Linked DNA regions of Ovis aries. The protein of the gene in region 1 purifies or fractionates together with the protein of each later gene. This does not show direct contact. Links are inferred from orthologs where the notes say so. Each region holds a gene or a part of one and is shown in the gene's direction. Other genes may lie near its edges. The genes, in order: SLC30A1, METTL9, XXYLT1, CSGALNACT2 and CLGN.

What was found.
Region 2: the proteins of SLC30A1 (region 1) and METTL9 purify together in Homo sapiens (co-immunoprecipitation; 3 studies listed by BioGRID and IntAct, with this or other methods). This does not show direct contact. The link is inferred for Ovis aries from reciprocal best matches to the Homo sapiens genes SLC30A1 and METTL9.
Region 3: the proteins of SLC30A1 (region 1) and XXYLT1 purify together in Homo sapiens (co-immunoprecipitation; 3 studies listed by BioGRID and IntAct, with this or other methods). This does not show direct contact. The link is inferred for Ovis aries from reciprocal best matches to the Homo sapiens genes SLC30A1 and XXYLT1.
Region 4: the proteins of SLC30A1 (region 1) and CSGALNACT2 purify together in Homo sapiens (co-immunoprecipitation; 3 studies listed by BioGRID and IntAct, counting the BioPlex papers as one, with this or other methods). This does not show direct contact. The link is inferred for Ovis aries from reciprocal best matches to the Homo sapiens genes SLC30A1 and CSGALNACT2.
Region 5: the proteins of SLC30A1 (region 1) and CLGN purify together in Homo sapiens (co-immunoprecipitation; 3 studies listed by BioGRID and IntAct, with this or other methods). This does not show direct contact. The link is inferred for Ovis aries from reciprocal best matches to the Homo sapiens genes SLC30A1 and CLGN.

Annotation. Positions count from the first base shown.
Region 1 is NC_056065.1:71,351,714-71,356,959, forward strand, and holds the start of SLC30A1 (proton-coupled zinc antiporter SLC30A1), read left to right. Parts: upstream 1-1,744; 5' UTR 1,745-2,214; coding exon 2,215-2,830; exon of another isoform or gene 2,831-2,924; intron 2,925-4,597; coding exon 4,598-5,246. UniProt on the Homo sapiens protein: Zinc ion:proton antiporter that could function at the plasma membrane mediating zinc efflux from cells against its electrochemical gradient protecting them from intracellular zinc accumulation and toxicity.
Region 2 is NC_056077.1:20,676,222-20,680,667, forward strand, and holds part of METTL9 (protein-L-histidine N-pros-methyltransferase), read left to right. Parts: intron 1-584; coding exon 585-769; intron 770-4,446. UniProt on the Homo sapiens protein: Protein-histidine N-methyltransferase that specifically catalyzes 1-methylhistidine (pros-methylhistidine) methylation of target proteins.
Region 3 is NC_056054.1:193,168,755-193,173,200, forward strand, and holds part of XXYLT1 (xyloside xylosyltransferase 1), read left to right. Parts: intron 1-1,472; coding exon 1,473-1,620; intron 1,621-4,446. UniProt on the Homo sapiens protein: Alpha-1,3-xylosyltransferase, which elongates the O-linked xylose-glucose disaccharide attached to EGF-like repeats in the extracellular domain of target proteins by catalyzing the addition of the second xylose.
Region 4 is NC_056078.1:12,883,675-12,888,120, forward strand, and holds part of CSGALNACT2 (chondroitin sulfate N-acetylgalactosaminyltransferase 2), read left to right. Parts: intron 1-881; 5' UTR 882-1,052; coding exon 1,053-1,812; intron 1,813-3,855; coding exon 3,856-4,072; intron 4,073-4,446. UniProt on the Homo sapiens protein: Transfers 1,4-N-acetylgalactosamine (GalNAc) from UDP-GalNAc to the non-reducing end of glucuronic acid (GlcUA). Required for addition of the first GalNAc to the core tetrasaccharide linker and for elongation of chondroitin chains.
Region 5 is NC_056070.1:17,387,982-17,392,427, forward strand, and holds part of CLGN (calmegin), read left to right. Parts: intron 1-1,960; coding exon 1,961-2,074; intron 2,075-2,193; coding exon 2,194-2,344; intron 2,345-3,953; coding exon 3,954-4,169; intron 4,170-4,446. UniProt on the Homo sapiens protein: Functions during spermatogenesis as a chaperone for a range of client proteins that are important for sperm adhesion onto the egg zona pellucida and for subsequent penetration of the zona pellucida.

The DNA of each region.
Region 1 (5,246 bases):
TGGGTTAAAAACTATGTTTTTAAAATTCTCCTCATCAGCTTTCACTCTCCCAATACCCAATTAATCAAGTCCTGTCAATTCTTGCTCAATAAATATCTCAGGAAGTTTCCTCCATTCTTTTGCATTCTGGAAGAACAGAAATAGAAGAGGATCTGGCTCTCTAGTCTGGATGGTGAGATGAGAAACACCATATACAAGTGAATAAACTTTTCTAGAAATAATATTTTTTTAAATGCAAAAATACATGGCCCCAAACAAGCCTTATATACAGACCCTGAGGCACTGGCTAGCACTGTCTTTGTCTCCCAGCAATCCAGAGCAGTTGGAGGTCCTTTTCGCTGTTGAGGGGCCGAGTGAGGCCTTTGGGAGTCCAGTTCAGGCCACTCTGACTCTAGCCACCCCTCCACTTTCAAGAAGCCTTCACTTTCAAGTTAGCTAGTCTTCATTCAGAGCACAGCAAGGTATGTATCCAATCTGAAGCAGTGTTGGCACAATTTATCAGGAGTATTTCACCGTAATTTAAAATTTTATATATTTCACCTCCACCTGGACAGAAGCTTATTCCGTATTCTCACTGCCCCTCCCGTTCCCCATAGCAACCAACACTGGGTTCTGCTGTTTGTAGTGTATAAATACAATGTTTAAGTCTTAGAGCCTTAGAATTTTAAAGTCAGGGGGAATCTTAAGATCTCCTCTTGTTCAGTCCTTTACTCTCCATAGACGAAGAAACAGGTCTAGAGAGACCGGCTGACTTGCCCAAAGTCACCCAGCTGGCTAGTGGCAAAGCAAGAACCAGAACCCAGGTTTCTCCTGCTCTAAGTCTGCACCCTGAATGATCCTTAGATAATCAGTGACAGAAATATCTGACTTCACACAAGGTCTCCGGGCGATGGTGGCGATAGGGGGTGATTTGCTTTATTGAAACATTTACAAAGATTCCATTCAACGCCTCGCAGGACCGTCCTGGACGAACTCCTCAACTCGGTGTTGAGCAGTCACAAGTTACGTGCTGCACTTGTTTATGAGTCTGTCGGCCCTAATCGCGGTTCTTCTGACAGAAGCGCGTCCCCGAGCCTCCCGCCGCCCCTCACACTGGGGCTCCCCCTCCTGGCCCCTCCCAGGCTGCCGACTGTCACACGGCGGCCGAGCGGCCCGCCCCACGTGGACCCGGCTGGGAGGATCAAAGTCTGTTTGCTGGCTGGCCCCCGGCAGGTGTGAGGTGGGCTGCTAGGACCCGCAGCGCCTGGACAAGAGGCCCGCCACGCCGCGGGGACCCCGCCTGCCTCGCCCTGCCCCTCCCCCTCCTGCTGCACGCGGCCCGCGCCCCCTACCCTCCCCCACGACGCCCGTCGCTGCACCCGGCCGCGGCCCCCGGCCCACGCCCGGCTCCTGAAGGGAAAGGCCCCGCCCCCATCTGTTGAAGCCGCGACACCGCCTCCTCCCCGCCCCTCTGAGCCTCCGCCCAATAGCGAGCGCGGGTGGGCGGGACGCGGCGGCTGTCGTGAGGGGGTTCTGGCCAATGAGAAGACGTGCCGGGCCTGGTGGGCGGGGCGGCGAGGCCTTGTCACGCTCGGGTCCGTGTGAAAACGGGGGTTCCGAGTGCAAAGCAAAGTTTTTTTGTAAACCGTCTGCAAAGGCGGGGGGGGTGGCGGGTGGCGAAGAAGGCGCCCGACACCGGGCCGAGTGCAGCAGCCGTGGCCGCCGCCTCTTTAGCTCTTCAGGCGTCGCCTCCTCGGTCCGCGCCACACCGGAGGAAGACCGCCGGAGGGGAAGACCTGCGCGGAGAACCCGCAGATGCTTGGAGCCTCCTCAGCGCTGAGCTGCCGGTCGCCCGCCCCCGCCGCCCGCCCGCCCGCTCCCTCTCCGGCTCTCTGTCGGCGGGCTTCGGGAGCCCCAGCTCCCTGCCGCCTCCGCCGCCGCCCCGCTGTGGGTGTGGGGGGCTGCTGGGGCTGAGCCGGGCCTCGGCGCCGGCTCCGAGGACGGACGCCTGAGGAGGAGCTGCGCGCCGCTGGCCGGCCGGGGACGCCCGCAGGCGCGGGGGCTCGGCGGCTAGACCCCGGGCTCGCCCGCTCCTGTCCAGTCACCGAGGCCCCGCGGCAGACTCCCGAGCCCCGCGCCGCTCGCCCTCCCTCCCTCCGTCGCCGGCTCCTCGGCGCCTCGCCGCCTCCTCAGGAGTGTCCGGGCCGCGCTCGGGCGGGCTCCTCAGCCGCAGCCATGGGGTGCTGGGGTCGAAACCGGGGCCGGCTGCTCTGCATGCTGTTACTGACCTTCATGTTCATGGTCCTGGAGGTGGTGGTGAGCCGGGTGACCACGTCCCTGGCGATGCTCTCCGACTCCTTCCACATGCTGTCGGACGTGCTGGCGCTGGTGGTGGCGCTGGTGGCCGAGCGCTTCGCCCGGCGGACCCACGCCACCCAGAAGAACACCTTCGGCTGGATCCGGGCGGAGGTGATGGGGGCTCTGGTGAACGCCATCTTCCTGACCGGCCTCTGCTTCGCCATCCTGCTGGAGGCCATCGAGCGCTTCATCGAGCCGCACGAGATGCAGCAGCCACTGGTGGTCTTCGGGGTCGGCGTGGCGGGGCTGGTGGTCAACGTGCTGGGGCTCTGTCTCTTTCACCACCACAGCGGCTTCGGCGACGACTCCAGCCACAGCCACTCGCACGGGGGGCACAGCCACGGCCTCCCCAAGGGGGCCCGCAGCAAGAGCAGCCGCGCCGGGGGTAGCGACGACGCCGTGACCCCGGGCGAGCAGGGTCCCGACCAGGAGGAGACCAACATCCTGGTGGCCAACAGCAGCAACTCCAACGGGCTGAAATTGGACCAGACAGGTGAGGAGAGAAAAGTCGCCGCCGCAGGTGGTTGGCCCTGGGGAGCCCAGACCCCGGGATGGCCCCGGGCGGGGTGGCCCGCACGCCCCCTGGCGCCCGAGCCGACCGCGCCGCGCCGCCTCGGGGCCGCTCGTTGCCGGGCGGGCTCCCGCACCTGCGGGGAAGCCGCCGAAACAGACGACCCCCTCCACCCCCGCTCCCCGCTGTCAGCCGGGTGTCAGGAGCCGGGGAAGTGCGTCCTCCGCCCCCATATGGGGGTGTAGATGGCACCGCGGTGGTGAGAGCGGGCAAAAGGTCAGGAGGTGACCCTCAGCCCGCTGCGGTCCGCAGCTGCACTTGGCAGTCTCTTACGGGCTGTCGTTCCAAGAGACTGTCTGATTTTGGCGTTAGCAGGATCAGCAATGCTTCCTAATTAAATTTCTTGGCCCTCTTGGAAAACCGGAGAGAATCTCGATTTGATCCTTAGTTGTTGGATGTTTGGAACCTTGCTCTGTCCAAGTAGCGCTTTTGCCCTTCAAACAAGTTTCTTAATGTTGTATTCAGAGCGATCTTAGTGATTGTCTTTCCTGAACTCAAAATCTTGGTTAAAGGTTTCTGTTATGAACAGCAATGCATGTTTCGGTTAATTTTCTAAAGTCTAAACCCAATCCTGAAAATCCTAGACTTAAGACCTGTCTGGGCATGTTTTTTGGGTTTTTTTTTTTTTTTTTTTTTTTGCGGAAGGCATGTTTTAACATTTCACTTAGGATTTGTCGTTTCTGTACTAAGGTAAAAGTGATGATAATTTATTCATCTTATATTTTTAATGTGTAGTTTTCATTCTAAACATTAAGTGCTCTTGGAAGGAAATTGGGAAATAGGTGTTGAAAGAGGAGATGGGAAAAGGAATCATCCTAATGCCCTACTAACCAATCTCAGTGATATTTTTAATAGCTTGGTGTATTTCCTCCCACTGTTTTCCATTTATATGGAAATATCAATTTCTGTTTACCTATTTGTGTGAAACCACACACGCATGACACTACATAGACAATTTTCCTCTTTCTAGGATTCAGGATATCATGTTAATGAAATTGAAGTTGTACATTGAAAACGTTTAATAAACAATTGAATTTCCTCTCACTTCTACTCTGCAAGGAGTTATTCCAAAGAATATTAAGCTGTTCTGGTGTGTATAATTCCTTAAAAGGAGCTAGTAGGATAGATAGTGATCATTTAGTTCCAACTTTTCGTGAAGTCTCTGTGTGATTGTTGATAGGCTTATATGGTTGATTTGTCAGTTTCTAAACCCCTTCTATCAAGGGACTCTTATCATTTATAAGTGACAAAAGTCTAAAAGTTAACCTTAACGCTTTAATGATGAAAAGTGACTAGAGCTCTGTGTCAGGTCAGCTGTTTGTATTAGACTTATCCATAGTTGCATATGATTTGGGGGTGATAGCATTCAATTTTGTTGTTTTTGATATATACCAACAAGTATAGAATGTTCCCAGGACCCCACAGAAAAGGTAAACTTCATTTGGAAGTGGGAAGGTAGGAGGTTGGAGTATGAGAAAGGAGTATCATCTTAATGATGATACTTAATTTACCCCTGACCATATATCCTGGCCTGTACCCAGTATGTCAACTTATATTAAATTGCTCTGAGCACATTTCTTCGTATGTTTTATGAAAAATTTTCACCTCCATCTCTTAAATGGAATTAGGCAAGAATGTTTATATAAACACTTAAGATGTGTTTGATACAGAATTTTTATTTCTTTGTAGATCCAGAAAAGTCCAGAAATGATGCAATGGAAGTACAAGTGAATGGGAATCTTATCAGAGAACCCGAAGAGGTGGAATTGGAAGAGGATGAAGATAAGACTGGACAACTTAACATGCGTGGAGTTTTTCTGCATGTCTTTGGAGATGCTTTGGGTTCAGTGATTGTGGTAGTAAATGCCTTAGTCTTTTACTTTAATTGGAAAGGTTGTCCTGAAGGGGAGATTTGTGTGAACCCATGTACACCTGACCCCTGCAAAGCATTTGTAGAATTAGTTAATAGTACTCAGGCAACAGTTCAAGAGGCTGGTCCTTGCTGGGTACTGTATTTAGATCCAACTCTTTGTATTGTAATGGTTTGTATACTTCTTTACACAACTTATCCATTGCTTAAGGAGTCTGCTCTTATTCTTCTCCAAACTGTTCCTAAACAAATTGATATCAAAAACTTGATAAAAGAACTTCGAAATGTTGAAGGAGTTGAGGAAGTTCATGAATTACATGTTTGGCAACTTGCTGGAAGCAGAATCATTGCCACTGCTCACATAAAATGTGAAGACCCGACATCATACATGCAGGTGGCTAAGATCATTAAAGACGTTTTCCATAATCACGGAATTCACGCTACCACCATTCAGCCTGAATTTGCTAG
Region 2 (4,446 bases), on another chromosome or scaffold:
CAATCCCTGGGATTCTCCAGGCAAGAACACTGGAGTGGGTTGCCATTTCCTTCTCCAATGCATGACAGTGAAAAGTGAAAGTGAAGTGAAATCGCTCAATCGTGTCCAACTCTTAGCGACCCCATGGACTGCAGCCCATCCTATCAGGCTCCTCAATCCATGGGATTTCCCAGGCAAGAGTACTGGAGTGGGCTGCCATTGCCTTCTGCCATTCTTAAAATAGGAGGCACCCTAGGAATCTACAATTACATCCCAGTGAAAGTAAAAGTAGAATTCTTTGTTCGTTAATTGATGTTCAAGAATTTGATGCTCTAGTTTCATAACCATTTTTATCATCTATATCTTTGTACTTATTCAACATACTAATTCTTACAAAGGAAACTTTGTATGTTTTGGAAATAGGTAAAATGTTGAATTTAAAGAAATATGGTTGTTTATTTTTGCATGGCCATATTATTACTGCAAATATAAATTGTAAATGAAGATTTTGAACTTACTTTGATTTGGAAGACAAAGTCTTTATTGGCATCTAAATGTTTTTAAAGATGTCTTTAAGGGTTTTTGTATCTTTCTAATTTTTCCAGAGTGCTTGGTATAAATGAATGGCAGAAGACAGGGTTCCAGTATGATGTCATCAGCTGCTTAAATTTGCTGGACCGCTGTGATCAGCCTCTGACTTTGTTAAAAGATATCAGAAGTGTCTTGGAGCCAACCAGAGGCAGGGTCATCCTTGCTCTGGTCTTACCCTTTCATCCCTATGTGGAGAACGGTAAGTGTGGACACCCACTTAGTAGGCCTATTATCCAGCACTGGTGTTTGTGATTCTGTGCTGTGCACAATTAGACATGATCTGGTATTTCTTAGAATACCCTGATATTTAACAAAGTACAGTTAACCCATGTAAAATATCGCCTCAGTTAACTTTTGTCTTAATGTGGATTTTATAGTGCTCTCTTTGTACTCTCTTTGCAGTGATAATAATTAATACTGAGCTGGATTTGCCTGCTCAAGATTAAAAGCCTGAAATGCTGTTAAATGGAGCTTTCGCCACTAACTTATTAGCTTTTTGAGCTGAGTCAAGCAGTAAATGATGCCTTTTAATCTATCTGAATATACTTGTTAAATGTCATAGCTATCTTGTATTTTACATCTCTTGTCCCTAAAATGATAAATGCTATTGTTATCCATTTTCCCTTTAGAAGACCATTTGTGTCCCAACGCGTATCATTTCTTTGACGTTTGGTTTTTCAGTCACATGGTCTTACTCTTTAACAATACTGAATGAAGAATATCTCAGAAGAAATGGTTGGATTTTATACTGCCTCATATTTATTATGACTTTTGGCCATAGTCACATTAATTCACACTTGGCTTTAACTTATTTGATTTGCATTTTAGATCATGTTGAAAGTTTTGACTTTAAGCCTCATTTGCATTTTTGTAAGTTATTGTACAATAATGTAAAATTTATTTATTATATAAGTAACACATGTTAATATTTGAAAATCTTTTCCTCTTTTACTGCCTTGTTCAACTTTGGGTTCAAATAAATCTTTAAGAACTTGTTGGCATTCTTGAGAAGTCCAGTAATATTTTGCTAGCATCATAGTTATCAAATACCTGTAAAAATCTTCATCCTAAGGAATAATGCTCAAGTTTGCTTATAACCATGGATTTGTGTTGCCACTCACTTGCCCCTTTGTTTCTTCTTGTTCTTATTTTTTTCCCCCATCAGGTCTTAGTTCCTTCTAATTCAGTGCTTGTCTTTAACGTTTACCAAATGTTTGTGGATTTGTTGTTGATGGTGGGGAAAATGGAGAATTCTTTAGACATAGGAAGGTAGAAAGAGGATAGATAGAATAGATGTCGTCCCCTCCCGCCCCTACATCTAGCATCTCCATTTTTACATTCCTTTGTTGAGCCATTTTGTCATGGTAAAGAAAAAACTGCTTGAACATGTGAGTACCACACCACGCATAAGTTTGTGGGGTAGGGAAATGTCACCCTTGATAGTTCAGTGGCCTGACCTGTTTCAGTGCTGTTCCCTCGGTAGTTATACCACGGCTCCCTCTCACTGCATTGCCATCACTAGTCATCAGCTGGCAGGTCTGGGTTTCTTGTGTCCTGTTGGGCAACCACATGATGGAACTTTAATGCTATTTCCTGGCATAGCAGGAGGTGGACATGAGCAGGGGAAGAAACGTCAGTCTAAACATGAAATCTATTTCCTTGTGTTTCTGACACTAAAAATTGAGAGGACATTAAACTGGACAAGAGGGCAGACTCTAGTAAAGGTCTGAAAACAGACTCCTTGCTTGTGGATGTGCCGAATTGCCTGTTCAATTCAAGTGGTCTGGTGTGTGACATAGAGCAAACCTGAGATGCAGAGCCTTGTTGCTGTGGGTGACCTTTAGTGACCTATAAGTTTTGTAGACTGCTTGTGGTACTCCGTTATTGCTTCCTTTCTCTGAGTTAGATCCTGATGATTTCCATGTGACCCCATGTGAAGACTTATGAGGTACAAAGTGATCTTGCTGTGTGAGTTCATGAATACAGGACTGGTTTAAGAATATCTGAGTGTACTTTGCATTCTGAATCAATTTATTTTAACAAAAGCAATTGTAGATGAAGTAATTACTGGTATAGTTTTTTTGATTGGTCTTAAAGTTGAACAACAGCAATTTTATTGCTTAGATCAATTTAGGGGAAAAATGCAAGATATATCTTTTTAATTTCAGTTTGTTTGGTGTACTGACCCAGTTCTGGTTAGGGGTTAAATCTCACTAGAATTGTTTCAAGCATCAAAAAGGGGGAAAGTATGTAATCAAGAAAAGGAGACTTATATTGCAAAAATTTATATTGAAAATTTAGTAAAGTTTAATTTTTTTAAATTGTGATTTTTGTAAAAAGGTAATTCATGGTTAAAAAAAAAAAGTGTTAAGCAGCTTCCTAGAGAGTATATAATGAATTTTCTTATCCACTCCAGTTCCACAATCTTGTTCACGTTTCTTGACTATTTTTCTAAAGATAGTCTATGCAACTATGCTTGGACATGAAAAAAATTGATTCTATAATCCAAGCCCATTATAAATACTTTTGTTGCCCTTTTTCGCTTAAGTATATCTAGGAAATTATTCGTAAGTGTCTATGTCCTTGTCTGCGTGTAAGCATTGGTGTGCTGGAGCTGGTTTTATAGGCTCAGGAGAGCTGATTGTTGTATTGGCAGGAATTTAGTGAGCTGGTTGTTAAACTTGGCCATTATTGAAGTTGACCTCGAGGGGAGTACTTACACCATGGAAACGGGCAAACTCTACAAATAGACTCTCCCTTCTTCTAGCTCATTGGTAAACATTTACCAGTACACCGCTGGGCATTGGTAACTTTTACTTGATGAGGCCTCTGTTGACGTACTTATGGATACTGGCAGTTTGCTTTGTAAAGACAAGTGAAATGAATATTCTTAGGCAAGTCTTCCACACATGTGTAAGTAGGTATCGGGATGTTATCTGTTTCAAGAAACAGAAGAAGCAACTGAAAAATAAGAGTTTATCTTAGAAGAGTGATTCCAGGGTTGGTTAATTCAGTGATGAAAGCACCCACTGAAGTTCAGAACTTGCTTTCATTTCTTCATCTTCCGTGTGTTGACATCCCCCGAAGTTACAAAATGGCTGATGCGGCGCCAGGCATCATGTGTAGGCATGACAGAGCCTGGGAAAGAAAGAAGCATTTTCTCCCATACTTTTTTTTTTTTAAAGTGAGGGAAACCTTTTCCAGAAATCTCCCTGGTACATCACACTTTAGGTCCCATCAATCCCTGGGCCAGGAAGAACCCTTGGAGTAGGAAATGGCAACCCACTCCAATATTCTTTCTTGGAAAATTCCACGGACAGAGGAGCCTGGCAGACCGTGTAGTCCATGGGGTCTCAAAGAACTTTTGTCTTCATGGAGCTTGGTTCTAGTGAGGAAGACAGATGGTAAACAAATGGCATGTTGTTGGTGATAAGTGTTACGAATAAAAATAAACAATAAAGGTAAAAAAGGGGCTTCTTGGGATTGGGAGTTGGGTTTAGGTGCTGTAATTTTAAAGAGGATGCTCACGGAAAGACCTCATTGAGACGGTGATGTAGGGAAAAGGCTGAAGGAAGTAATGTTTAAGATTGTCTGGATGATACATTTCTAGGAGTGGAACTCCTTGTTAAAGAGTTAGTTTTCCAAATAGCTACTCTGTGACCCTAGTACCATTTATTGAATAATCTTTCCCTAATGCTTTGACATGCCACCCTTATCATGTATCATGTGTGTTAAGTCACTTCAGTTGTGTCTGACTCTTTGCGACCTATGGACTGTAGCGCACCATGCTCCTCTGTCCGTGGGATTCTCCAGGCAGGAATACTGGAGTGGGTTGCTGTGCCCTCCTCCAGGGGGTCTTCCTGACCTGGGGGCTGA
Region 3 (4,446 bases), on another chromosome or scaffold:
GCTGGCCTGGGAGGAACCTGGGCAGGTGGAGGGAAAGGGCAGAGGTAAGTGATGAAACGGAGCCTACCTGCTTGGGGCCTTCTCGGGCACTGCCCACATCTGTCATTTCTCCTGCAGCAGGCCTGCTGACAGTGTCAGCAAGCCAGACAGGGGCCTCATGGGGCTCCTCCTTTCATGGTCGGCACCCTGGTTGGACAGGTCCTTGACCCTGGAGTTGAGGTGGCGGCCACCTCGCAGGCCCGTCCTGTCCTGTTAGCTGCCAGGGAAGATGGAGGTGGAAAGTCATCTGCAGATCTCGTGGGGGGATTGAAGGAGGAGGAGGAGGGACATCTGGGCTCCGGCCTGGGTGCATTTATTGAGCTCCTTTTGTCTGCAGTGGAATGTGCTGGGTGTTGCGGGGCACACGAGCAACAGGGAAGGCTTGCAAGACGTATGTGAGCAGAGCGCATGGTAATCTATGTCTCATGTGAGGCTGGGGCTCTCTGTGGGATGGGCTGATCATCTGGAATAATGCCAAACAAGGGAAGCTGACTCAGGAGGCTCTCCTGTCTCTAATTGCTGATCTTGCTGATGTTTTCTTCTGTGGGTCACTGGAAAAGAGGAGCTGTGTGGAGACGAAAGAGTGTAAGGCTTGGAGTCTGGAGGCCACGGTTCAGTTCTGGCTCTGGCAGTTGTTAGCGCTGTGATCTTGGACGAGTGTAACGTCTCTGAGTACCTACTTTCTCAGTTGTAGTTGGATGTCTGCCTGCTGAAGGCCAGATTGTGGTGGGGATCTGTGTGTGTGTGAGAGGGTTTCATAAATTGCAGAGCCCTGTGACAGAGCTGCTGGTGACCTCTCTAGACTCTACGTGTTTTGAGGAAAGTGGTGCCTGGTTTCTCCTGATACCTCTCTCAGCACCTCCAGAGTGTCTGGGACACTCAAGAAATGGTAGTTGAGTCAATGGATGAGTTGACTGCATCTCCAGGCATTTTTCATTTTCTAGTGGCCAGATCCTCTCCCTGTCACACTGTTGGCAGGGAGGTGGAATGTCTGACTGCGACGCAGAACACGTGTAGTGTCCTCCAGGCGACGCTGGAGCCAGTGCCAGGCCCCCAGACTTGCTGAAGGTCCTCACTTCATGACCAGACCCTTTAACTTGGTTTCCAGTCTCTGGGCACAGAGCTTCCTCCAGTGTGGCGCAGTCTGAATTGCAGAACCAGAGGCAGACCGGGGGCAGCTCCCGTTCCCTGGCGCCCACTCCTCTTCCACTGTGCCCCACGTGTCTGCCTACACATCCTCACACTTGGTGCCCCATCCCCACTGCTGGACTCTGCTGACTCCCCATTGTTCCCCGTTTCCTTAGCTCTTCGAGATTCCATGTCCCTCTCTTGTGGGCCCTGGAGAGGCCATATCTGTCCTGTCCACGGCCCGTGTGTGTCCTGGGTCCCCGCCTGGGGTGCTCACTCTTGTCGTTCCCTGTGCCCTCCTGCAGGTCGTCTTTCACGATGTTGGTGTGCTGACAGACAAGCTCTTCCCTGTCGTGGAGGCTATGCAGAAGCACTTCAGTGCTGGCTCTGGGACCTACTACAGCGACTCCATCTTCTTCCTCTCAGTGGCCATGCATCAGATCATGCCCAAAGGTAACCTGAGCAGTGGGGCAGTGGGCCCTGGCCTGTGACTTTGCATCTGTTTTCCTGGCTCCAGTACTGCTGGTGCCCTGTATCAGAGAGCAGACAGAGCTCCACTCCACACGATGGAGAGGGCAGGGGCAGCCAAGGCCTCCGTGTGCAGCACTCCCTGCACAGAGACTCCAGGGCCGGGCCCTGGGCTGCACAGCTCCCAGGGCCCACTCACGAGTCCCCAGTGTGAGCTGTGCAGGACCGACACCCTGAGTTGGGGCGCCTGGGCTCCAGCCCTGACTCTGCTCCTCACGCACCCACACCTCTCTGAGACTCAGTTTGCTTATTTGTAAAATGGCAGGTTGGAATAAATGACACTGTATCTCAGTCTGTGATCCTGATCTTTCTGGTTTGAGCCTGTACTTATCTGACTTAACTTATCAAACCTAGATGTTGGAAGTGCACACTATGACTTAGGAGGACTTTTTCTGAAACTCTGATGCACAATTATTTTCTGGGCTTTGGTCCCTGTGGGGCAGAAGAGGTGGATTGTCTGGTCTGTGATAGGTCAGCCTTGTGTGGAAGCGCCGGCAGGTTATCCTTGGACTAGAAGCCTTGTAGGGGGTTGGGGGTCTCATTTGTGGGGTATACCGGACAAATTTACCGGGTATATTTGTGGGGTATACAGAACAAATAAAGGTTCTGGGTTCTTCACCTCCAAATAGCCCTGGGTATTGCCCCCTGCCCACTCCTATTTCTAGCTACAGTGAGCCATGAGCTGAGCTTTGTAGGGGTGAGGAGGGGAGTTCTGGGATCTTGGGGTAGCAGCTCTCCAAACTGTGAGCCTGGCCACTTGGGAGGTCACTGCTCCTGCCCAGCAGCCCCGAGGGGGAGAGGAGCTGAGCACCGCTGCCCGAATTCCTGGTGAAGCAGGAACTCAGGAGACAGAGGCTGAGGCCGGGTTCCTGTTGGCAGGTTGTCCTAGCATAGGAAATCTAGCCCATCCATCTTGGCTGAGACTTTGTCTCCCTGGGGCAAGTTCCTGCACCCGCCTGTTCTCTTAGCTGTCAGGCGAGGGCTCAGGGAGCTTCGTGAGTGCGGGTCCAAAGAGAGAGGGGACTCACCCACCTGAAGGGCGCGGGAGGAGAGCTGACATTTGTGATGCTGTGGGGAGACCAGGTGCAGCTCCGGCAGCGCCCCGAGTCCCCCACAGCCCTGGAGCTCACACACGTGTGTGCTGACCGAGGAGCTGAGTGACTGGCAGTCCCTCCTCTCCCCTCAGGTGGGCAGGTGTGATCTCTCTGGGCAGACCCTGTGCAGGTGCTCTGGGCATCTCAGCCCGCAGGAAGCTATGGCCCTGCCCTCCTGGATTCCAGGGAGCAGACAGATATAGGAGCTGGTCCCAGCTGTGCTGCTGACCCCGTGTGCCTTTGCTGAGACCTCACTGTCCCCACCTGGAATTGCAGGAGCTGACCTAGTGAAGAGTCCAGGCTTCCAGGAATCACCCTAGGAGATTTTGTAGTTCTGGGGAGTAGAGAGAAGAGGGGTCTTACCCTTATCCTCTCTCTCCCACCCGCGCCTCACTCCTCACAGTCCATTTTGGTCGCTGTGTAGAGCAGGCTTGGGAGCAGGATTCTATTTGGTCAAAGGGTTTTGTGGTTAAACTAGCAACTTGAGATTCTCGACCAGATGGGCCTTGAGGGCCTGCCCAGTCCTGTTGTGCAGGACACACGATTGGCCTTGAAAGAAGCTCAGTGACAGAAGATGTGATGAAGAACATCAGGGGATCTGGGGGGAGGCAGGCCTCCTTCTCCTTCCCCTCCTCCCTCATCAGCTGGTAGGTCTCTGCCCATCATATGCTAAGCTCTAGGCCAGGTCATGCTTTGGGGCACCCAGGGGCTGGTCAGGACCAGGCTGTGAACTCTAAGTGCAGATGACAAGAATTAGGGACCCAGGGTCCATTCTCTGCCTCGATGACTGTGGTTAGGGACCCAGGGTGCTTCCTGTCTGCCTTGCCGACGTTGCCCTGCCCAGTAGCCTGGCCCTGTCCCTGGGCCCACATCTTCAGAGAAGAGACTGTGGCCTGGGTCTTGCTGTCTGTGCAACAGGTCAGATCAGAGGTGTCCCTCCACGTGCTCCACGGGCCCTGGGGGGGCCAGTGTCAGGAGGTGGGGATGGTGCTGTGTGAGATGTGCCGACCCAAACACAGACACTTTTCTTGGGTTTTTAGGTGAATGATGCTAGAGGTTCATTTATCCGTCCACCTAAAGTCTGCTTCCTAAGAAGCACATTATTAGGAGTTCCTAAAGTTTGATGATCATAAAATAAAGCGAGCCGTCCTGGAGTTCTTCCACGGAGCTTGGGTGTTTCCGCCCAGCAGTCTGGCCGCTGCACAACACTTGGCAGTGTTGCAAAACTCCTCCTGGGCAGAGCCTTTGGAATTCCTGTAATTTTCTGAAGGAGCTTGGTTTCCAAAGCACTGTTAGTGCTGTCTTGGGTTCGTCATGTCTCTCTATTGCTGCCTTGTTTTGTTTCCATTGTTTTCAATCATAGAAATTGCTATTGTCTTGTGCTTTGTTGATGATTTGGTTCTTGTGTAATTGCCACATTCTTGCTATTTTGGTTTATTTCGTTTCTTTCTCAGTGTTCTTTTTTCTCTGGGAAAGTGAGAATGGGATGTGGGTGGATCATAAACCTTTGGTCTCACCCAGGAGGGCTGGTTTGGAAAAGCTTGTGTTCCCTTGAGTTACATCTCAGGAAGTCCTGTCTGGAGTTTGTCCCCCAAATCCAGGTTATTTCTGTGTATTGAAATAGCGCCTCTCTTCCCCTCTCCCTTATAAAACACAG
Region 4 (4,446 bases), on another chromosome or scaffold:
TGGAGAAGGGAATGGCAGCCCACTGCAGTATTCTTGCCTGGAGAATTCCATAGACAGAAGAACCTGGTGGGCTATAGTCCATGGGATCGCAGAGTCAGACACAACTGAGCGACTAACCCACATAATGGATTCTTTAATGTTTTCCTGCAGAAAAACATGTTCATGTCTTTATATAGACTCCAAACCTTTCCAGACTTGTAGGAAATCTGTTGCTGTGTAATACAGTGGAAAGAATTATGTGATCTAATGCTCAAATAATCTACTGGAAGAAAGACTTTGGATATAAAAATGTTTCTTAATGTGTTTTCCAGATGTCTGTGGCCTTCTGAAATTGCTTCCCCCCGTGCACTTAATTTTAAGTCTTTTAGATTCACTAAGTTGAGCTATAGAAATTAATAAAGTAGAATGCTTAAATTGAATAAACAGTAAGAAAATCTCTCTCTCTAGAAAGCCATTATCAGTATAACAAAAACAATTCAGCTCCCAAATGGTGATATATTATAATTGGGAAATGGTGAGTTAATTGAAATATTATGTTAGTATAGAGTTATACGTGATGTAATTTACAAATAGTTAGGGACCGATATAATCTGTGTAACACAAACTATGCTAAACGCTAAACATAATTTTAATGTTTTCTTGATTCATTCAAGTTATGGATGTGTAGATATTCTGGTTGAAAGTATTTCATGTATTTTAGTGTTTCAGAAGGTATTTTTCTTAATACTTTCCCCCAGCATTAACTGAATATTATATAGTATATTAGTGGCTCTCATGGTGCTCTGCCTATGATTTCACATAGCTAAGCTTACTAAAGCTGTCAACAGTTTGATATACTTAAGGAAACAAAATTCTGATTGATTCTGATGTGTTTCTTTCAGAAAAATCAACACCCATGGATTTTATCTGACTGTGTAGATCAGGTTTTTTTTATTCTGGATATCACAGTAACAGTATAGGAAATATGCATTATTTCTCATGTCTGCAAGTAGTCCTCACTGCTGAAGGAAGCAATTTTTTAAGCTACAGCCAAATTCATTTTGGTACTTTTTATGGAAATCTTGATTTTGTTTTTACTTTTTTATAACCTTTGGCAAAAGGTATTAACAAGCAAAGAGCTCATCTCATTAGGCAAGTCCACATTAATAAGAATGCCTAGAAGAGGGTTGATTCTTCACACCCGGACCCACTGGCTACTCTTGGGTCTTGCTTTACTCTGCAGTTTGATATTATTTTTATACCTTCTGGAATGTGCCCCCCAGACTGATGGAAATGCATCTCTTCCTGGTATCATTGGGGAAAATTATGGTAAAGAGTATTATCAAGCCCTCCTACAGGAGCAAGAAGAACATTATCAAACCAGAGCAACCAGTCTGAAACGCCAAATTGCCCAACTGAAACAAGAACTACAAGAAATGAGTGAGAAGATGAGATCTTTGCAAGAGAGAAAAAATGTAGGGGCTAATGGCATAAGCTATCAAGGCAACAAAGAACAAGCACCTAGTGATCTTTTAGAGTTTCTTCATTCACAAATTGACAAAGCTGAAGTTAGCATAGGAGCCAAACTACCTAGTGAGTATGGAGTCATTCCCTTTGAAAGTTTTACCTTAATGAAAGTATTCCAGCTGGAAATGGGTCTCACTCGCCATCCTGAGGAAAAGCCAGTTAGAAAAGATAAGCGAGATGAATTGGTAGAAGTTATTGAAGCTGGCTTGGAGGTCATTAATAATCCTGATGAAGATGATGAGCAGGAAGATGAGGATGGTCCCCTTGGAGAGAAACTGATATTTAATGAAAATGACTTCATAGAAGGTAATGTGAAAAATGTGTTGATCTGTTAACATTAGTATGACAAAATTCTGTTATTGTATGCTGATAATATGTCAGAAAAAGTTATAATGTGATCAAAATAAAATAGAAAATAAGAACCAGGGAAATAGAATAAGTCTAAGCTTGTATAGCAGAATACGCCCCAAGTTGAACGGCTCTTAGGGTTGTGTGTGTATTTGCATGTATATGTATTTGCATTCATCTCTGAACTGGTTTTGATGTTCCTTTTTTATATTTTTTAAAATGTATGAACTAAGGCTCAAAATTTGAAAACCATTTGCTAAAGGAAAAAAGAACCTAATTAAGATTAGTGGTAATTCTGTATTTCGAGTGGAGGAGAAACACATGTCAGAACATCAAGGAGGCATACATAATTTTGAAAAGCATATTTGGCATTTGGAAAAGTAAAGAAATAAACCCATTTTCTTAATACAGACTGCAGAAAGGGCACAGCATTTTTATATGTCAAGATGGGACACGACTCAGAAGTTGAGGAGCACTCGTATACATTTAAGAAATTTGATTGATATAATTATAGATTATATCAGGAATAATTATAGGCCCTAACCCATCTCCATCTTATACCCCATGCTAGATATTTAGTTGTAGGCTTAAAGCCGTTTTGAATACAAATATTTCTTAAAAGTTCTCTTTGCATGATTCTGTATGCCACATGTAGTTTTTTGGGTTTTGTTTTTTTTCACCCCAATCTTCATGGGTATCACTTGCTATAATATAATGCCTTCAGCCTTTGGAGGCCGTCACCAAGGGCCTTGTACTTTTCTGTGGCATTTCAGCTATCTTCTCCGTATAGCCATCTCTTTTTACCCCGTCACTTCCTGCAGTTTTTGATGGGTTGTTTCTTTCAAAACTCCTGTAGTTTTTCTGCAGGCTCGGCTTTTTATCTTTTCACTCAGTATGTTTATAGCTTATGGCAGAATTGAAAGCTGCAGAGGAAGTAACTAAGATATGTAAGATGTCTTCGTGTCTTCTTAAAAAGAAAGGAACCTATGCCAGTTTTATATTCTGTAGCTTCTGCTTTTTTTTTTTTAAATATAATTCTCCTGGGATTCTGTCACTTACAGGATTTTTCTCCGTTATGGAACATATTTTGTCCCTTGGTTTTCCTCCATTGTGCCACTTCCCTCATCAGAAAAATAATTACGGACAATGATTTAGTAGCTCCTGTTCCTCTTCCAGACTTCAGCTTAGATGTCACTTCTTCTGGGGAGGTCATCGCCAACCTAAAAGTTTAAGATAACAGTGTTCCTATATGTTCTTATAATCTCTACCCTGTGCCCCCTCTCAGAGCACTGTCCTAATATACCGCATTGCCCATTTCCTGGTTTGTAGTTCTGTTAGACTGTAAGCCTCAGGAGGAAGCTCTTGTTCACCATTTTATTTCCAGATATTGGCTGACTGACACATCTGTAGGTCTAATCTCTCTCCTGAGTGTCACACTTACAAAATCAGATTGCCTAATAGACTTCCAGGCTTTTCTCCCAGAGGCATCTCAGATCACCATGTTTAAACTTACACTAATTTTTCTTCATCTGACTTCATTCTGTTGTGTTTCTGCATGTGTATATCACTATAGTATTATTTCCTTTTTCTGTCTCCATTGCTAGACGGAACTGGGACCATGTAGCCATCTTTATACCATTAGTACCTGACACAGAAGTTGTGACTTTCAGGTCTAGAATTTAATATTGCTAGAAGTAATCTCTTTATTTTCATCATTTGGTTTATGTGTTGATAGATTCTGCTATTAAAAAAAAGTCATGTAAAAAGGAATCATCATCATTTGGAGTAAATTTTATGGATTGAATAATAGAGCAAAATATTTTTTTAATCTTTTGAAGTAGCAGTTTTTACTGACTGTATCATGGGGATAAAATTTTCACAAATGTATAAAAGCTGTACAAGTCTGATTTCACACTTTTGATCGTTGAGTAAAGTCAATAGTCACACTGAATTTGTGAGCTTTGATATGGAGACATCTTTGTTCCTAATTCTTTCCTTTAGGTTATTATCGCACTGAGAAAGATAAGGGCACACAGTATGAACTCTTCTTTAAGAAAGCAGACCTTATGGAATATAGACACGTGACTCTCTTTCGCCCTTTTGGACCTCTCATGAAAGTGAAGAGTGAGATGATTGACATTACTAGATCAATTATTAATATCATTGTGCCACTTGCTGAAAGAACTGAAGCATTTGCACAGTTTATGCAGAACTTCAGGTAATTCCCAGAGCTTAGTGGTTTGGCTAAGTGCTCCTAAAAAAAAAATTCATGCCATTTTATTTAGTTTACCTTCACTGAGTAGGGTTACTTAGAATTGCAGAATAATTTTATAGGCTTTGGGGAACTTTATGTTTTTGATATCCCTTTATTCTTAAGGCATGTATAGTATATTGTGTTATTGACAATTTGAACTGTGAAGTAAATTGAGGGTAACAACTATTAGGAACTAAATTTGATTACTTTTATAATTGTGTTTGAATTCATTTTAGGACAAGTTGAATTTTTAAAAATAACTTTGTTGAGGCATAACTTATATACAATAAAATTGACCTATTCCAAGCATACAGGTTTCATGACTTCTGACAAATTTA
Region 5 (4,446 bases), on another chromosome or scaffold:
TCCCCTATAATGAAAAGGACATCTTTTATGGGTGTTAGTTCTAAGAGGTCTTGTAGGTCTTCATAGAACCATTCAACTGCAGCTTCTCCAGTTACCTGTCGGGGCATAGACTTGGATTACTGTGGTACTGAATGGTTTGCCTTAGAAACGAACACAGATCATTCTGTCGTTTTGAGATTGTATCCAAGTACTGCATTTCGGACTCTTTTGTTGACTATGATGGCTACTCCATTTCTTCTAAAGGATTCTTGCCCACAGTAGTAGATATAATGGTCATCTGAGTTAAATTCACTCATTCCAGTCCATTTTAGTTTACTGATTCCTAAAATGTCAACGTTGACTCCTGCCACCACAGTTAAAATGCATCAATTCTTTGGTGCTCAACTTTCTTTATAGTCCAACCCTCACATGCATACATGACTACTGGAAAAACCATAGCCTTGACTAGATGGACCTTTGTTGGCAAAGTAATGTCTCTGCTTTTTAATAGGCTGTCTCTGTTGGTCATAACTTTCCTTCCAAGGAGTAAGTGTCTTTTTATTTCATGGCTGCAGTCACCATCTGCAGTGATTTTGGAGCCCCCCCAAAATAAAGTCTGCCACTGTTTCCACTGTTTCTCCATCTATTTTCCATGAAGTGATAGGACCAGATGCCATGATCTTAGTTTTCTGAATGTTGAGCTTTAAGCCAACTTTTTCACTCTCCTCTTTCACTTTCATCAAGAGGCTTTTAGTTCCTCTTTACTTTCTGCCATAAGGGTGGTGCCATCTACATATCTGAGGTTATTGATATTTCTCCCAGCAATCTTGATTTCAGCTTGTGCTTCTTCCAGCCCAGTGTTTCTCATGATGTACTCTGCATAGAAGTTAAATAAGCAGGGTGACAATATACAGCCTTGACGTACTCCTTTTCCTATTTGGAACCAGTCTGTTGTTCCATATCCAGTTCTAACTCTTGCTTCCTGACCTGCATACAGATTTCTCAAGAGGCAGGTCAGGTGGTCTGGTATTGCCATCTCTTTAAGAATTTTCCACAGTTTATTGTGATCCACACAGTCAAAGGCTTTGGCATAGTGAGTAAAGAGAAATAAATGTTTTTTCTGAAACTCTTCTTGCTTTTTTGATGATCCAGCAGATGTTGGCAATTTGATCTCTGGTTCCTCTGCCTTTTCTAAAACCAACTTGAACATCTGGAAGTCCACAGTTCACGTATTGCTGAAGCTTGGCTTGGAGAATTTTGAGCATTACTTTACTAGCGTGTGAGATGAGTGCAATTGTGTGGTAGTTTGAGCATTCTTTGGCATTGCCTTTCTTAGGGATTAGAATGAATATTGACCTTTTCCAGTCCTGTGGCCACTGCTGAGTTTTCCAAATTTGCTAGCATGTTGAGTGCAGCACTTTCACAGCGTCATCTTTAGGATTTGAAATAGCTCAACTGGAATTCTGTCACCTCCACTAGCTTTGTTCGTAATGATGCTTCCTAAGGCCCACTTGATTTAACATTTCAGGATGTCTGGCTCTAGGTGAGTGATCACACCATCATGGTTATCTGGGTCATGAAGATCTTTTTTGTATAGTTCTTCTGTGTATTCTTGCCACCTCTTCTTAATATCTTCTGCTTCCATTAGTTCCCTACCATTTCTGTCCTTTATTGAGCCCATCTTTGCGTGAAATGTTTCCTTGGAATCTCTAATTTTCTTGAAGAGATCTCTAGTCTTTCCCATTCTATTGTTTGCCTCTATTTCTTTTCACTGATCACTGAGGAAGGCTTTCTTGTCTCTCCTTGCTATTCTTTAGAACTCTGCATTCAAATGGGTGTTACCTTTCCTTTTCTCCTTTGCTTTTTGCTTCTCTTCTGTTCACAGAGGTAGGAAGTGCCTATTGGTACCTTCTGAATTCTGTAATGTGCATTTTTAACTGTTTGAATAATTAGTAATTAGCATAAAATACTGTATTTACAGGGATGAAAGTGAACCTGCCCAAATAGAAGATTCAAGTGCTGTTAAACCTGATGGCTGGCTTGATAATGAACCGAAATTTATTCCTGATCCTCATGCTGAGAAACCCCTTGACTGGTAAGCATTCTTCACCTTCAGATGTCAGTTTCCTGCTTCTTACATGCTCTTTTGTTACCATTGATATGACTGACAGGAGTCTTGAGGTCACTCCGCATGCTTTGTTCTAATACCCTAAGGAATGAAGACATGGATGGAGAATGGGAGGCACCTCATATTTCTAACCCAGCATGTCGGATTGGGTGTGGTGAATGGAGCCCTCCCATGATAGATAATCCGAAATACAAAGGAGTATGGAGACCGCCGATGATAGATAACCCTAACTACCAGGTAATAACCACTTATTCCCGTCCCACAGTAAACTTTTTAAAATGCTGTGCCTATTTCTCTTATACATCTAGTTATTAATAATGTTATGTTAACTTGAGGAAATTTGGTTTATAATAATGTGCCTTAGCTATCTGAAGTCAAAGAAAATAGACTGCAACCAATTTATGTTTAAAAAATAAAGTGGGGCTTGCTTCCCTGGAGGCTCAGTGGTAAAGAATCTGCCTGCCAGTGCAGGAGACACGGGTTTGATCCCCGGTTAGGGAACATCTCACGAGCCGGGGAGAAGCTAAGCCGGTATGCCACAGCTATTGAGCCTGTTTGCTAGAGCCCAGGAACCACGGCTGCTAAAGCCTGTGTGCCCAGGAGCCCGTGGTCTGCAACAGGAGAGGCCACCACAGTGTTCTCTCCAATCTGCCCTCTGCAACTAGAGAGTTGTCCCCACTTGCCACATCTAGCGGGAAAGTCAGTGCAGCCACAGAGCCCTGAGACAGCCGATAAATAAATACTTTTTTTTAAAGTAAAGCATCTTTTAATTTCCTGGGGTAATAAAACTAATAACTAAAGATAAATCACTTCATACTATTTTCCTGAGTAATCAGTTGACATCACTTTGGAATATTTTATTTTAGGATTAAATATAAGAACTGAGTTCTGATCAAGAGGACTCACACTGTACATTTTAGTAATTGAAGTCTGTGCTTAAATAATGCGTTCCTTACTCTCAGGTTTTATTAAAATTGAATTTTTTTTCCTAATATAAAACAGATTTTTTTGAGTATGCTTAGCTTTTGGGGTAGAAGTCCTTATGTTGTCCGTTTAACGCTGTAGTTTTATCTAATTATTCACTGACATTTTCTAACATTTATTTTATATACATACAGTTATAGATTCTTTTTGCTCACCATAGTTTTTCTTCATAGAATGACTGTTTTGGTAACTGTTTTGTCTGAGATCTGTCTTTCCTTCATTAGACTTTAAACGCCATGATGAAGGGACCATGTCCGCCTTGATTATCACAGCAGAGCAGGTGGCATAGTGCCTGGCACAGAATAGTCATAGGTGATGGCAGACTGAGTCAGTGAGTGATCACATTGGCCAGTTTATTTGCTTTGGTTGACTTTAATCATTTAAGACTTAATGGAAGTTCTGTGTTGAATAATTGTTCTGTGATTCAACCATGAGTGACTGTTGATGCCCATCATAAGTGTATGTTAAAAGACATGGTTCCATTTTTGCCATACAGTAATCTCTTTGATTTGAGCAATTTTAATGATATCGTGCCTTGAGTATCTTTACTAAATGTAAAAAAAGAAACTCATCTAATATAGTATCAGTTGTGAAATTTAAATACTCAAGTTTCTGTGGGATTTTTCACTCTGCCTCTTTTTTTTGCTGAGTTTAAAGTCAGTATTATTCATAGGTAACATCGTGTACAGGATAAGAGGAAACAAGATTTTATTTCTAGTGAATTACTAATGAATTAATTATCAGTTAAAGTTTTCTTTTTCCCAGTTAGTATTGCTAATTTCATTCAACAGCAACTGCTTCTTGAGTAACACTTATAATGAAATTATTGTTTGAAAATGTATTTAAATTATTTTTTTTCCAGGGTGTCTGGAGTCCTCGAAAAATTCCTAATCCAGATTATTTTGAAGACAATCACCCATTTCTTCTGACTTCTTTCCGTGCTCTTGGTTTAGAGCTTTGGTCCATGACCTCTGATATCTACTTTGATAATTTTATTATCTGTTCAGAAAAGGAAGTAGCAGACCGCTGGGCTGCAGATGGTTGGGGAGTGAAGATACTGATAGAAAATGCTAATGAGGTACACAGTATTTAGCATATGATAATAATAGGGTATCGTCCTGGTTATAGGTTATACAGATGGCCTTTTGATGAGTCAATAGATACAATAATTACTAAATGATGAAGAAACATATTTAAATCTATGTAGACAGAATATGAGCTTCACCAAATTATAACTTCATTATAAACTATATAGTGAATTATATATGTCTTCTTTTCATTTGTTAGATTATGATAACATAAATGGATTGAATGCCTTTTGATGTTTATAGAAATGAGACGGTTATTACTACTGT